Diceros bicornis minor: one gene and its partner. The protein of the gene in region 2 interacts with the protein of the main gene of each other region in a pairwise test. Links are inferred from orthologs where the notes say so. Each region holds a gene or a part of one and is shown on either strand. Other genes may lie near its edges.

Region 1 (7,761 bases), on a different chromosome or scaffold from region 2:
GTAAAACTGAAAACACGCAATCCCTTGCACCCTGCAATGCCGTTACTGGGAATATACCCCAGGGCACATGTGCACAAGGAGACCTGCAGAAGGATGTTCACTGCAGCACTGCTTGAAATAGAGAAAAAATGCAAACGTTAAGTGTCCAACAAAAGGGAAATAAATAAAATGTCGTGTACATGCACTGCATAATAGTAAGACTGCAACAGACCTATATACATTATGTGTGAACGTGATACATTCATATAAGGAACATGCTACAGGAGCATCCCATAGCTACACACACACCAACGACAAACCCCCCAAAAGTAACGTTAGTGAAAAAGGCAAGCTGCAGATGACACAGAGAATATGACACCACTTAGATAAACTGTAAAAAGCACAAACATCATATATTGCTCAAGGATGCCTATATAAAATATTAAAGTATAAAAAATGGTGCAGAAGCACAAAGATCAATTCATAATTCATAGTAGTGCTTGCCTTTGGAGACAGAGAAGGAAGAATGGGACTGGGGTTCTGAGGTTGGAGAACAAACTGTTATCTATGGTCTTGTTGTTTACATATATTTATATATATATTCTTAAGCAAATATGACAAAATGTTAACAAGTTTTCACTTCTGTGTAATATGTAAGCAATGTTATTCTGTAACTGTTCCAATATTTTTAAATTTATCAAAAGAAAAATAAGACATCCACGGAATTGAAACATTTTATAAGTAATTTTGACAGATGAAATGACCCACTATAAATAAAATTCCTATATATAAAAACCCAAATGAAATTTGAGCAATCATTAGAAGGAAAAGAAAAAAATGTTAAAATTGACACCATAGACATGAAAATGTTTGATTTTTTTAAAACATTATTTATTATTCATTTGGTTTTAATTTTACATAATTAACATTCCTTGAAATTTAAGGTGACTTTTTTTTTTTTACTGGTAACTTGAATGAAACTATACGTGTATCCCAGGTAGAAAAGCAGTATGAATACATAAATCTTTTCTAATGCGTCCCACCTGCCTTTAACACATTATGCCTGGGACTTCATCAAACAACTGAGAAAATGTGCTTGCTTCACCAGCTTCAGTACCAAAAACGGAACCCCAGAGCCCTGGGCGGTGTTTACAACGCCCAACTCAGCACGCCATCTGTGACCCGTGCAAACACTGCACTTCCCCTATTTAAGCACCCCACTGTCAGCGGCCACCTTCAAAGGTCCAAGGACAGCGCCACCACCCTGGGCTGAGTCAGTGACATTCACGGCCTTTAAATACAGGTTTACACACCAGAACCGAAATTACCTGCGACTCACTGCTGGGGCCGTCACCCGGTGTTGCCATAGTTCTCTTAGGATCTGCCGCATAGCTGCCGCTTTTACTGTTTCATTCTCCCCTCCATTCCTACTTTTAAAAAGAGAGAGAATGAGAAAACGCTTGTTCCGTCACTTAAGGTCTAAGGTCCACGATAAAGTTCCTCTACAGAACCGAAGCAAAACATGTATGTCTAAAGAATGAAATAAAAATGAAGTTTATAAACGCAACTTTTTACAAAAACAACTGAAAGCATTTACAATTTATAAACTTCAAAGAGCGTGTGTTTTCTTGAGGAGTCTGCAAAGCGTCAATCTTATTCATTAGGGAAGCTTGTTGGTTTCTCTTAGATCACTGGGTTGATTTAAAACAACAAATAGATGTCACATTTGTTCTTGGAACCCTGATACCTTTAATTCCAATTAAAACTCCCTACCTGGGGCTTTAAAGTGTTTCCACTAACAGGAACTCTGCATCTTCAGAGGCTTTTCCTTCTCATTCTCAATTCCCATTTTTCCAGTGACAGTGTAATCCGTACTATGCTCTGAGATGAACGGTTTTTAAATTACACAGCAATTCTTTCTTTAAAATGCGTGCTTCACTTATCAAGATCTAATACTTATTTTTGTGACATCTGTCATCACAAATACTAAAATACATACATTGCATTTTCATTGGAAAACACTGCTAGACGGCCAGGGTGGGGCGGGGCCAGGACAGGCCCGGTCGATAGGGCGGGGGCCGGAAGGAACGGGGCGTGAAGGGCAAGGATGGGGCGGGGAAGGATGGGGCGGAGAAAGATGGGGCGGAGAAGGATGGGGCAGGATGCGGCCAAGATGGCGAGGGACAAGAGCAGAATGGGGCAGGGCCAGGATGCGGCGGGACGGGGCAGGACCGGGCCGGGGCAGGATACCGCCGAGATGGGGCGGGGCCTGGATGGGGCGGGATGGGACCAGGATGGGGAGGGGCCAGGATAGGGCCGGGATGCGGTGAGTTGGGGACTGATTGATGGGGCGGGGCCGGGATGGGGCGGGGCCGGGATAGGGCCGGGATGAGGCGGGATGAGCTGGGATGGGGCGGGGCCAGGATGGCACGGGATGGGGCGGGACGGTGCGCGGCCGGAGGGCGGACCCGGGCGGGGCACAAGGACGCTGGCTCCGGGCGCTGTCCGGGAGAGGGCCGAGGATCCTCAGGGGCAGGTGGCCAACGAGGGGTGGGGAGAAGGCGCCGTGGATGCAGGAGCCGGAGAGGAGGGGGACAGGGAGTGTAACGTGACCCGCAGCGTGCGGGGCGGCCGGACTCCCAGGGCGCGGACGGGAGGGAGCGTGGCCTGGGGGCGTGGCTAGGAGAGCGGTGGGCGGGGCGCCGGGGAAGCCTCCGCAAGGGCGTGGCTCGGGGCGTGGCCCGCGGGGAGGGGCGCCGAGCTATGGTCAGCTCGGGGCACGGAGCAGAGGAGGGGAAGGCACCCGGCGGTCTGGGAAGGGGCGGAGGCCTCTGCCCGCTAGCTGACGTCGGGCGCGGACCGGTCACCTGGCGTGTCCTGCCTCACGCGCGGTCCAGCCGCCCGGGCAGCGTACGGGAAACGGGAAACCTACCTCAGCCGCGTTTCTCCGCTGAATCCCGCGTACTCATTGCCGGCGCGCACGGGCAGACGATGCCTACGGGGAGCCGAGCCGCCGCCCTCGGCCCGCGCAGGCGCGGTGCGCGCGTCCGCGGAGAAGACCCCGCCCTGGGCTCGGCGCCCCGCGCTTGCGCAGTCCCCGCCGTCACGACAAGTGGCGTCACCCCTTTGGGCTTGCGCAGGCGCAGTGCGCTCAGGCCCTTCGTGGAGTACTCTGGCCTGGGCCGAGCGCCCCGCGCAGGCGCACTTCACGGGCCCCGCCTCCCGTCGTCGCGCGAGCGGGGGAGCCGCGCCGCTGGTGTGGGGGTGGGGCCCCGGGGGCGGGGCGCAGGTGGGGTTGGGGGAGGCCGGCCAGACCCGGGGAGGGGGAGCGGGGGCCGGGGGGCGGGGCGCAGGTGGGGAGCAGGTGGAGCTGGGGGAGGCCGGGCGGACCCGGGGAGGGAGAGCGGGGGCCGGGGGAGGCCGGGCGGACCCGGGGAGGGAGAGTGGGGGCCGGGGGGCGGGGCGCAGGTGGGGCTGGGGGAGGCCGGGTCGACCCGGGGAAGGGGAGTGGGGGCCGGGGCCCATTTGGGCCTGGGGGGGGGGTGGTCAGAAGCCTGCTATGGGCGACGGAAACGCTGAGGTTTCTGCAACAGGACCCCCGTCCTCCTGCTGTTTTGGTAATAATTCAATTAACCTTCCCATCTCCGGCTGCAAGGTGTGAACGGCGTGGCATTGTTTCCACCTGACAAGTGGAAGCATGGTGATGAAGTTTTTACTCCATGAAGAGGAAGTCAGGGATTAAAAGGAAAACAGGACAACGTCAGTGCGGGTTACCGTGCGGTGGCTGCGCAGGGTCGGCAGGTGGCGGCGCTGTGGTCTGGGAAGGGCAGGACGTGGTCCTCAAATCTTAGAGACGGAAAGTGGAATGGTGGTTGCCAGGGGCTGGGGAGGGAGAAGAGGGAGATCATGTTATCCTTGTAGGGTTTCAGCTTTACATGATGAAGAGTTCTGGAGATGGGTGTTGGTTATGGCTGCACAACAATGTGAATGTATTTAATACCACTGAACTGTACACTTATAAATGGTTAAGGTGATAAATTTTATTTTATGTATATTTTACTGCAATAAAAAAAGCAAGAACACAAATTACCAATATGAGGAATGAAAAATTCAGTACAGATTATAGGTTTTTTTAAAAGATAATAAACTGGTATTATGAAGCTTTATGTCAAAAAAAGTTTGACAAATTAGATAAATTGGGCAAATTCCTTGAAAAACATAACTTACCAAAACTGAACAAGTATATTTAGAAAATCTGTGTAGTTCCATATCTCTTATACAAACTTTGACCTTCCCCCTAATGGCCTGAAAGAATTTAAGATAGATGCCCTGGCCCCAGGACAGGCCATCACCATAGATAACTCTGGGTGTCAGTAGACTGGGAGCATCCTTGCTAAGCCCATTCTTATCAAAGTCCTGTCTTGGGATCCCGTTGTCATAGATGGCCCAGCAAACTCTTGTTTAACAACATTTCCTTTTCCATCTCCATGTAAGTTGCCTTCCTCCCCTTTGAAGCCCCAAACCACTACCCCCAACATCCTCCTCTGTCTTTAGCTGAAAAGGTGGCAGCTTTGGCCATTCTAACAAGTTACTCAGTTTTTCTGGGTTTTCCCCATGTGTACATATTACTAAACTTTGATTTTCTCCTGTTATTCTGTCTCATGTAATTTAATTCTAAGACCAGCCAGAAGGACCTAGAGGGTGGAGGAATTCTCTTCCTCCCCTACAGAAGAGATAACACCAATATTAACAAAATTTAAAGAAAATAGGGGATGGACGCTTCCCAATTTGTTTTATGAGGCAAACATAACTCTGATACAAACACCTGAGAAATACAAGAAAAGAAAATTACAGACCAAAATCCTTCATAAAAATATATGCAAAAATCCTTAACAAAATATTAGCAAGTCCAACCCAACAATATGTACAGAGGGTTATACATTATGACCATGTGGAGTTTATGCCAGTGTGGGAGATCAAAATTTGGCCACCCTGAAATATATCTCTTTACCTTGATTGTTTTCTCTGAAGGACATTTGACCTCCCCCACTAACTGCCTAAAGAATTTGACATGGTGGCTCCTTCCTGGAACAGATCTTCCATCTGATGGCTGTAATATAATGTAAAATAGATCTTACAATAGGAAAGGCACCAACAAGCCCATCTTATCAGAAGTTCTGTCTCTGGCCACATTCTTTGGATGGCCCTGCAAGGAGTTGCCAGACAAACATTTACATTTATAAGGGAAATCTCCATTTGTAAAGGTATCTCCCTCTCTGTCTTGGGAAGAGGGGGGATGACCTCATTTCTAGAAACTTATCAATGTGGAAGGTGAGGCCTTAAATCTGCATAATAACCTTACCCTTGTTTACAGTGCTTTAGTGGTAATCTCCTGTAACTGACACCCCCCACCCCCAACATCCTCCTTTGTCTTTAGAAGAAGATGGTATTTAAGATGAGAATTTCTGCTATTGTGTTGAGAAACGCAGTGTCCCTGCTTTCTCCCATGTATACATGTTATTAAACTTGGTATTATTTTCTCCTGCTAACCTGTCTTGTTGATTATTTGGCCAGCCAGAAGAACCTTAAGGGAAAGGGCAGAGGGAGATTCTCCCTCTTCCCCCGACACCAGTAATGTAAAATTGGTCTAACTCTTAAAAATCAATGTAGTTCACCATTTTAACAGAATAAAGGGAAAAAAAATCATATGATCATTTCAGTACATTTTTAAAAAGGATTTGACAAAATAATACCCAATCGTGATTTTTTTAAATATCAGCAAAAATAGAACATCTGTCTGTAAAAAGGCATCTATCAAAAACTCCATCACTGGGGCCGGCCCAGTGGCACAGTGGTTAAGTTCGAATGCTCTGCTTCAGCAGCCCAGGGCTCACGGGTTCAGATCCCGGGTGCAGACATACACACCACTCATCAAGCTGTGATGTGTTGTGGCAGCTTCCCACATAAAGTAGAGGAGGACTGGCACAGATGTTAGCTCAATGACAGTCTTCCTCAAGCAAAAAGAGGAAAATTGGCAACAGATGTTAGCCCAGGGCCAATCTTCCTCAACAAAAAAATAAAAATAAAAACTATCACTAAAGTCATACTTAATGATGTTATATTGAAAGTTTTTATTAGAAACAAGGCAAATGTATCCACTTTCACCACTTCTATTCAATATTTTGTAGGAAATCCTGGCCAGCACAATAAGGCAAGTAAAGCAACAAGTAAATAAAAAGAATAACTATTAGGAAGAAATAAAATTATGTATATTCACAAAAGATTAGATTGTTCGCATAGAATAGCCTAAGGAACCTACAAAACAACTACTAGAACAAATAAGTGAATTTAGCAAGATTGTGGGATACAAGATCAACATAGAGAAAAAAGTGTGTTTCTATTAGGAGCAAAACATTGAAAATGAACTTTTTTTAAAACCCATTTATAATAGCATTGTAGGGTAAGTAGCTGACCATTAGCTTTTTTGATTATAAGTGCCTGACATAAAGCTTTTGATTGCTGAGGTATCCACTTCAATAAATGAATAAACACATTGCCAGCTACACAACTAGCTAAAAAGCCAGGCCACCCTACCCAGGAAGTTTTTTTTAGAAAAGCCCTGGGTGACCTAGATAACTGACTTTTTGACCACTTGTTTTCCCCTTCCTGCACTTTAATCACTGTTCTTATGTTTTAAATTCACCAATAAAAAGTGGACCCACAGGGGCCAGCCCGGTGGCGTATCGCTTAAGTGCGTGCACTCCGCTTAGGTGGCCCCGGGTTCACAGGTTCGGGTGCTGGGCGCAAACCCATGCACCACTTGTCAAGCCATACTGTGGTGGTGTCCCATATAAAATAGAGAGAGGTGGGCATGGATGTTAGCCCAGGGCCAATCTTCCTCACACACACAAAAAAAGAGTGAACCCACAAAACTCTAGGCACCCTCCCTCCACCCCAGTAAAGGCAGAAGCCCAAGCCCTCACTGATGTGTGCTCTCTCTCTCTCTCTTTCTCTACCTGCGACCTCGCTGTGTGGCCCCGGGGCATGCATGTACCTTCCAGGACTTGTGAATAATAAACCTTGTCTTTTCAAAGTTCCATAATGGTTGTTGCTGAGGTGCGTCTTGCAATCGTAATAAGAACCATGAGGGCCAGTCGAGCCACAACATTGGAAATGTCTGTGGGGGGTCCCCACAAATAGTAGGAGCCCAGGTGAGTGCCCCCAGGCATTTCTAGTGGATAGCATCACTATCAATAGACTGAGACAGACCCGGAACAAGTATCAACATAAAATACTCAGGAATAAGTTTAACAAAAATATGTGCAAGACTTTTACACTAAAACTATTTTTAAAATGCTGAGAGAAATTTTAAAAGATAAATAAATGGCGAGAGATTCCATGTTCACATATTGGAAACAATATATTTAAGAAGTCAATTCTCCACAACTTGATTGATACATACAACAAAATCCCAATCATAATGCCAATAGGATTTTTTTCTAGAAACTGACAAACTGATTCCACAATTTATAGAGCAATGCAAAGGACCTAGAATGGCAGAACAATCTTAAAAGAGAACAACAATATCATAAGATATATACTCTCTGACTTCAAGAATTATTATAAAGATACAGTAATCAGGACAATGTGATATTGTCAAAACGATAGGCAAAGAGGTCAACGGAGCAGAAAAGAAAGTCCAGAAGTAGACCCACACTTTTACAGTCATTGATTTCCAACAAAGGTGCCCAAGCAATTTGATGGCAGTGAGGAAAGTCTTTT
Region 2 (7,922 bases):
TATGTTTACAGAATAGTGCAACCATCGCAACTATGTGATTTCAGAACATTTTCCTCACCCCAAAAAGAAACTTTGTATATATTAGTAGTCACTCCCCATTTTCCCCTGTCCCCTGTCTTGGCAACTACTATTTTCTGTCTCTATGGATTTATCTATTCCATACATTTAATAAAAATAGAATCATACAATATGTAGGCTTTTGTGATTGGCTTCTTACACTTAGCATAATGTTTTCAAGGTTCATCCATTTTGTAACACATAGCAGTACTTCATTTTTTTTTTTACTACCAAATAGTACTCCAGTATGGATATACCACATTTTATCTCTCCATTCATTATTTGATGGACACTTGGGCTATTTCCATTTTCTGGCTATTATGAATAATGCTGCTAAGAACATTCATGTACAAGTTATTGTGTGGACATATGTTTTCATTTCTCTAAGGTAGACATCTAGGAGCAGAATTCCTGGGTCATATGCTAACTCTATGTTTAACATTTTGAGGAACTGCCAGACTGTTTTTCAAAGTAGCTGCACCATTTTACAATCCCACCATCAGTGTATGAGGGTTCTAATCTCTCCATATCCTTACCAACATCCGATACTATCAGTTTTTTTGATTATGGCCATCCTAGAGGGTGTGAAGTGGTATTTCCTCCACTTTTTAAATGCAAATATTCTTTAAAAGCTTTTTTTAACCACTCCTCCCCCCTTATAGGACACCAAGGCATCTGGTGAGAGTAAAGTCAGCATATCCATGTACTTGTATGCGTGAGCTGTTTTGAAATTTAGAATAAGTTTCTGGCTCCCTGTATATGTTCTGTAAACAATACTCATACCTTTCCAGTAATCTAACAAGGAGAATCAATCTCATAACAAATTCATTAATTCCACTTTGAATTTAAATAAATACAAAACACTGAAATTATAACCAAAGTGCCTTACACCCTCAAAAATATTAATTGTAAAAGCAGTAATTTAAAGGATTCTTTATTATCTAAAAAAATTTTTTAAGCTAAAATTTTTTTCTTAGTAGTCTAATGGTTACTGTATACTCCACTATTGAGCTCACTTAAGTATAAAAAGTTACTTAACAGTGAAAATTATCCAAATCCTTACTTCAAAAACTTTTGTCCCCTAAGCTACTAGCAAATAAACAGAATTAATATAAGATTAGGTCCTGAAACAAAAATAAACTCTGAATGATTCAATGTCTTTCAACCTTCAGTCAAAATGTTGTAATCAAGTCAATGATTATAAGGAGATAATTCTGACAATTTGTTAATTGAACCACTGTATCACACCAAGAAATTTCACTAACCTGGCATTTTCTTCTTCTGGCCTTTCAACTTCATTTTCATCTACCAAAAAGAATACATAAATAAATAAATAAAATTAACAAACAAACCACTCTCAAAGAAACCAGTATTATGAAAATCTGAAGTGATCATCACAAGCACTAACCTAGGTCCTTTGCCAAATCACTGTGCACATGCACGTCCCATGGGCCTATAAGCACATCCAAAGTTAGATCACCTTATAATGATGTAACAAGATATGTCTTTTATGAAAAAAAAAAATCAGACTTTACTTCTACAAAAATAAGCTTAATTTAAGAGGTATTAAAGATTTCTAGATCTTTGTAAAAGATACCCTACACATTTACATTTCAGAGAGTATTACTAATGCTAAACCTTGCCGTCAAAGATAATGAACTTATTTTACAAGTTTATCAAAATAGAAGTTTGTCCAAGCCACATCATGAAAGAGCTGCATGGTGCCCAAACGCGCACTTTTACTTTACTATTTTAAAGACATCAAAAATATACATTTTAGGTAAGGAACCAGTATTAACTTTTAAATCTAGTATCAGTAACAGAAAAGAAAGGACTGTGACTTAATGAAAGTTAAAACCAGATGTCAAACAAGTCCCTTTCAAAAGGGAAGTACAAAATGCTCTACATTTGAGGGGGAAAAAATGCACAAGACGATACTGAAAACCATTAGCCTAAGGGACATGAGGTACTTCTATCATGTGGGTTAAAGACCAGTCTCTTAAAAAAGAAAAACTTCACCTTAATACAGGAGACATTCGGGGTTTTCTTTATGGGCCATAATGTATTCCATCTCTTTCTTTCTCTCTCTCTTTCTCTTTTTTAATTAGTTATTTTTAAAGAACGACTTTCAGACAAGGAGGTACCCTTGCAGGTGCATTCCACACACACTGACCATCAAGAAACAAGACGTTAGTTTTACAGCATCAACTTTATTTAGCTATTATTACAGAATGATTGTTGCTGAAAGAAAGGGACAGGAGAGGCATCCTAGAGCCAAGGGGTAAGAGACACACCAACACAACTCAGAATAGATATCAACAAACAGAGTAAGGAGCGGAGGCGAGGCCGAGACGCCCTCGCGGGGTGGGGGGGAGGGGTGTGTGTGCGAGAGGGCTCGGGCCCTGTCCCGCGACCCCAGCCCGGCCCGGGCCGCCGCGGGGTGGGTGCGCCTTGGGGGTGTCGGCTGGGCGAGGAGGCCGAGGGGGGGCGGGGGGACGCGCACCCCGCGCTCGGCCTAAGTCAGGCCGGATAAGGCTCCGCACTGGAGGCCTCAGGCGGCGGCGTGAGGGACCCCGGACGCCCGCCGCTTGCAGGCCGGGAGAGAAGCCTGAGAGAACCCGGGAGAGAGAGAAGGGACAGGAAGTTCCGTACCGCCATAGAGCCACTCTTCCTCCTCATCCCCTCCGGTCCCGCCGCTCAGCTCCGACACTAGGCGCTCGACCTCGCCGGCCGACATGGCCGCCCCGAGCACAACTTAAAGGCGGCGATCAACAGCCCCTTGCAACCCCTTCCCCGGCCTCGCTGCCCGGGGGCGCGAGGGGGCGCGAACCCGCCGGCGAGCGAACGAAGGAAGCGCGAGACTCAAATCCACGGGGGACGGCCGCGGCGGCGAAGGCTGCAAGGGAGAGGACGCCAGCCCCCATCCGCCTGCGCACGCGCACCAGCATCCAAGCGGCGCGGCGTCTCTAGGTGGTTTCGCTTCCGCGGCGGCGGCCACCTGGGCCTGGTTGCGCGTGCGCACCGTAGTTGGCCCCGCCCCTGTGGAATCCCGCTCTGGCTTTTTAGCGTCGCTTTCTTTCCTGGCGTCCTGCGTCGGCTACGGTTCCCCGCCCCCAACGTTCCTTCTAATAACTCTATTGCCTTTGCCGAGGAGCGCTGCGTTGTTTGCTTCTGCCCTTGGTGCTTTGTCTTCTCAACCTTTCTTTCTGCTTTTTAATCTTCCGAAAGGCCATATTTCATTCTTTACATGTGTATCAGACTTGATACAGAATCGTTATCTATCAGTTCCCTGTTTCTCATTAAATAGAGAAGAAAACATAGTTCATGGCCACTTTCTTCAAAAATTAGTTTTAAACCGCAAACAAAAGCAAAACTAATACGTGAATAATGCATTCTGCTTGTTAAAATACAGCATTACGGGTCAAAGACCACCTCATCCATTACTCTCCTTTCCAGAGGTAGCCATTGTATTTGGTGGGCATCATCCTGAAATTTTCTATACATATACTTCAGGTGCATTGTATTGTTTTGGTAGGAGAACCTGAGGTTAACGATTCTTAAAAGGTACAGTACTGTATGTATCATTCTGTGGATTGCTTTTTATTTTTTTTAATTCAACAGTGTTTTGGAGATCCTTTCCATGTTAGTGTATATCAAACTATGTCCATTTTCAAGTGCTTCATAATATGCCATACCATGGTTCTCATAAAGTGAATGTGGCTATTTCCCTATTGATGTACATTTAGATTGCTTTCAACTTTTTGCTTTAAGATGCACACAAAAACTGCAATGAAGATCCTTGTAAATGACTTCTTGGGGATTTATACAAGTTTTTCTCCAAGATAGATCATAAAGTATGAGCAGTTTTTATTTTACTAGGTAATGTCAAATTTTCAAGCCACTTTTGAGAACACATCTTTCAAGATGACACATGATGGGTCAAAACTGGTGTTCTAGTTGTTAACTATAACTACCTAGTTGCATGACCTCAGGTAATCAACCTCTCTATGCTTCAGTTTTCTCATCTATAAAATGGGAAAGCTGGATTAGATGATCTCTCAAGTCCCTTTCTGTTCTAAAGTTTTCAAACAGGATGCTCACTTTTCAACAAAGTGATCTGTTTTAGTTTTAAAAATCAATCAGTGGGTTTACTTTGCTCTCTAATTAATAAATATTGTTCTTTCAGGGCCGGCCCATGGCTTAGCAGTTAAGTGCGCATGGTCCGCTGCTGGCGGCCCGGTTCCGATTTGGGCGCGCACCGTCGCACTGCTTCTCCGGCGATGCTGAGGCCGCGTCCCACATACAGCAACTAGAAGGATGTGCAGCTATGACATACAACTATCTACTGGGGCTTTGGTGGGGGTGGTGGAAATATTGTTCTTTCATTTATTTATTTAACAATTACTGAATATCTGCTGTTTAAGAACTTGGAAAATAAAGATATGAGTAAAAGAGTCCCTGCCCTTAAAGAGCTCTCAATTTATTGAGAAAGACAGAGGGGTGGTAAACAATTAATTCTTCTACAAGGGAAAAGGTGGCTATGCTACAATAGAAGCACAAATGTGTTTACATCCCACCAATACCACAGCATCTTATGGCATTTAAACAAGTCATGTGGTTTTAATCCCTCTTACCTTTGAACACTCCTCTACCTGCTATTCTCAGTCCCCCTTATCTGTTTAGGATAATCCCTTACCTCCTTCTGAACTCTGTTGAGTTATAATCAACTTTGTATGTGAAATCTTTCCTGAATTCCACTTCATCTCCTCCCATTTCTTTATTTATTCAATAAATATTTATGAATGGTCTACCAAGTGTCAGAAACTCTTCCAGGCTGTGTAGATTTGGTAATGAGTAGGGCAAAGTGCTCGTCTCATGAAGCTTTCATTCTAATGAGGGAGAGAGCCAATAACCATAAATGTACAATACGTCAAGTGATGATAAGGATTATACAGAAGAGTAAGCAGGATAGGAGGACTCAGAGCAGAATGATGAAGAGGGATAGGATGCTATGTTATATCAAGTGGTCAGGGAAAGCCACTCTGATGAGGTGATATAAGAGTAGAGACGTGAATGGAGAGAGAAAATAAGCCCTGTGGATTTCTGGGTGAAGCCTATCAGACAGAGGGAATAGGAAGTGCAAAGGTCCTGAGGCAGAGGCACACTTAAGGCATTCAAGGAACCCAAAATGTAGCCAGAGTAGAATTAGGGAGGAAGAGGATATAGATGATGTCAGAGTTATTAGGGAGTGAGTAGGGAAGAGCTAATTACTCTCTTCTAGACCTTTTGCTGCTTCTATGGCATGTATCTATCACATCATGTAGTAATTATTTGACTACATATGTGTTTTCTTAAGATTCTTCATTAGACCAAGTCCTCCCTCAAGCAGGGCTTTTTTTGTTTTTTTTGTGAGGAAGATCAGCCCTGAGCTAATATCCATGCCAATCCTCCTCTTTTTGCTGAGGAAGACTGGCCCTGAGCTAACATCCGCGTCAATCTTCCTCCACTTTATGTGGGACACCGCCACAGCACGGCCTAAGAAGCGTTGCGTTGGTGCATGCCTAGGATCCGAGCCTGGGCCAATAGCAGTGGAGCACGCGCACTTAAGCGATATGCCATGGGGCCGGCCCGAGCAGGGCATTTTTTTATATGTCACTCTCATTCCTGGCATGGTGCCTAACACTTAGTAGATCTTCTTGGCCTTTACTGACAGTAATGGAATGAAAGTTTTTATATTCTGCTTGGAGTATCATAAGGCAATCACTTATAGTCCTATTCATCTTTCTATTTATCATTCCATGAGTCTATAATGAACTTTGGTGGTTTCATGGGAGAACCAATTGTCTTTTGCTGAGCAGCCTCTTTCTCCTTTCAGATGCCTGAAATGAGCTCGTCTTTCAAGGCGTTACTTAAACTGAACTGAAGAACTGATGAATAATAATTGGTGCATCAGAATCGCCTTCATGATGGAGGTAGCATTTGAGCTAAGCTTTGAAAATGAAGATTTCCACAAGCAGAGAAGCCTATAAATCACTAATAATCACTTTTAAAAGGCCTCTTCCTTCCTTGCTTCCAATCTGAGTTCCTTGCCTGGATAAACTTCCTTAGTTAAAGGTGTCTTTATCTCCCTCCTCACCAGGGGAGACTTCAAAGACAGGTGGTTTGAAGATATTGTGTAAAATTATGACCTTATCAAACTACAATACTTCTTATATTCTGGTTATATTTGTGTTATGTTCAAATACTTTAAAGAATGTTTTTTTGGTGTGTGTGATCTGTTGGTTCTTGGCAAAAAAAAAAAACAACAACAAAGCATCAGTTTTAATATATCTATCTCTGAGAAGTACTGAAAGAGAATGCTTAGTAGATGATGATTAAAATGATAGCAAGAGGTAAAGATCAAATAAAAATGCCTTGCTAGGTATCTAGTAGTTAGCAAGTACTCATAAATGTGTTTTGAATGGATAGGACATTTAGGCTTAACTGTGCTATTTGCTGCCAATTTTAAATATGTCACTTAAATCTCAATGTTCCTCAGTTTCCTCACCAGTGAATTGATATATTAAAATAACACCTTTACACCCACTTCTTGGGAGGATAACAGAGCTAAAATGAAGTTTCAAATGTCAAATCATTTGACAAGTTAGAGGCAAGCATGTGGTGTGTTATGGTTAGACTTTTCGTCCTTTGAACAACCTGAATAATGGCACATGTATAGAGCTTTTCTTCCTCTCTAGATACTTCCATGAGGAATTAAGCCCCAATTATCCATCTTCCTCTGTATTCTGACGTATTTTAACACTAAATTTTATATTACTAGTTATTTCTGGAAAATTATATCATCTCCTATTTGCATCTACACTGTTATGTAGACTGCACACTCTTTAAGGATGAGAACAAAATTTATTTATATCTGTATTCACCAGATCCTCTTTTACAATGTCAAGCACGTGGAAAGTGCATAGTGAATCCTTACGTGTTGATCGTGCATATGGAGGAGTTTGAAATGAAGTGAAGGGAGATATGCTTGATTTTATGAAGAATGGGAAATAACTGCTGGCTGTTTTGAGCAGAGAAATACAAATCACATTTAAATAAGGTAAATCTAATGATCTTAAGCATGTAATTTTAGCAGGAATTCATTTGACTGCCATAATATCTGAGAGCAAGAAATGGAAGGAAGAAAATTCTGACACATAACGTGGATGAACCTTGAGGATATTATGCTAAGTGAAATAAGTCAGTCATAAAAGACAAATATTTTATGATTCCATTTATATGAGATATCGAGAGTAGTCATCTCATAGCAACAGAAAGTAGAATGACGGTTGCCAGGGGCAGGTGGGAGGGGGAAATGGGGAGTTGTTGTTTAATGGACATAGAGTTTCAGTTTTGCAAGATGAAAAAGTTCTGGAGATTGGTTGCACAACATTGTGAAAATAATGCTACTGAACTGTACACTTAAAAGTGGTTAAGATGGTAAATTTATGTTATGTGTATTTTGCCACGATTAGAAAAACAGAAAACAAACAAAAACATGTTCCAACTGAACTCAGTATATTTTTCCCCCAATCGGCTTCTCATCTGGTTTTCTAAATCTCAGTGATTGCCATTTACCAGTCACCCAGGCAGAAAACTGGATGTTACCCTGAAATTCTTCCTCTGCCTCACTCTTTGTCAATCCAGTAACCAGGCTTTTTGGCTCTATCTCCTTAACATTTCCTTAGACACCCTTCACTGTAGATCCCCTTTACTGGTATCCTTATCTACTCTGGCCCAAGTGGTTGCTGTTACTGTTTCTTAACTGCTCTCCCTGCCCTAAATCTTAGTCTGCTCAAATTATTGTCCATGACTTGACTAGAATC

The links. The genes of interacting proteins can lie anywhere in the genome.
Region 1: the proteins of FIP1L1 (region 2) and PRMT2 interact in a two-hybrid assay, tested with the Homo sapiens proteins (2 studies listed by BioGRID and IntAct). The link is inferred for Diceros bicornis minor from reciprocal best matches to the Homo sapiens genes FIP1L1 and PRMT2.

What each region holds. Positions count from the first base shown.
Region 1 is NC_080766.1:46,000,128-46,007,888, reverse strand, and holds the start of PRMT2 (protein arginine N-methyltransferase 2), read right to left. Parts: upstream 3,001-7,761; 5' UTR 2,912-3,000; intron 1,861-2,911; exon of another isoform or gene 1,753-1,860; intron 1,407-1,752; 5' UTR 1,347-1,406; coding exon 1,308-1,346; intron 1-1,307. UniProt on the Homo sapiens protein: Arginine methyltransferase that methylates the guanidino nitrogens of arginyl residues in proteins such as STAT3, FBL, histone H4. Acts as a coactivator (with NCOA2) of the androgen receptor (AR)-mediated transactivation.
Region 2 is NC_080747.1:41,487,439-41,495,360, reverse strand, and holds the start of FIP1L1 (pre-mRNA 3'-end-processing factor FIP1), read right to left. Parts: upstream 3,007-7,922; 5' UTR 2,795-3,006; coding exon 2,710-2,794; intron 1,511-2,709; coding exon 1,466-1,510; intron 1,363-1,465; coding exon 1,323-1,362; intron 1-1,322.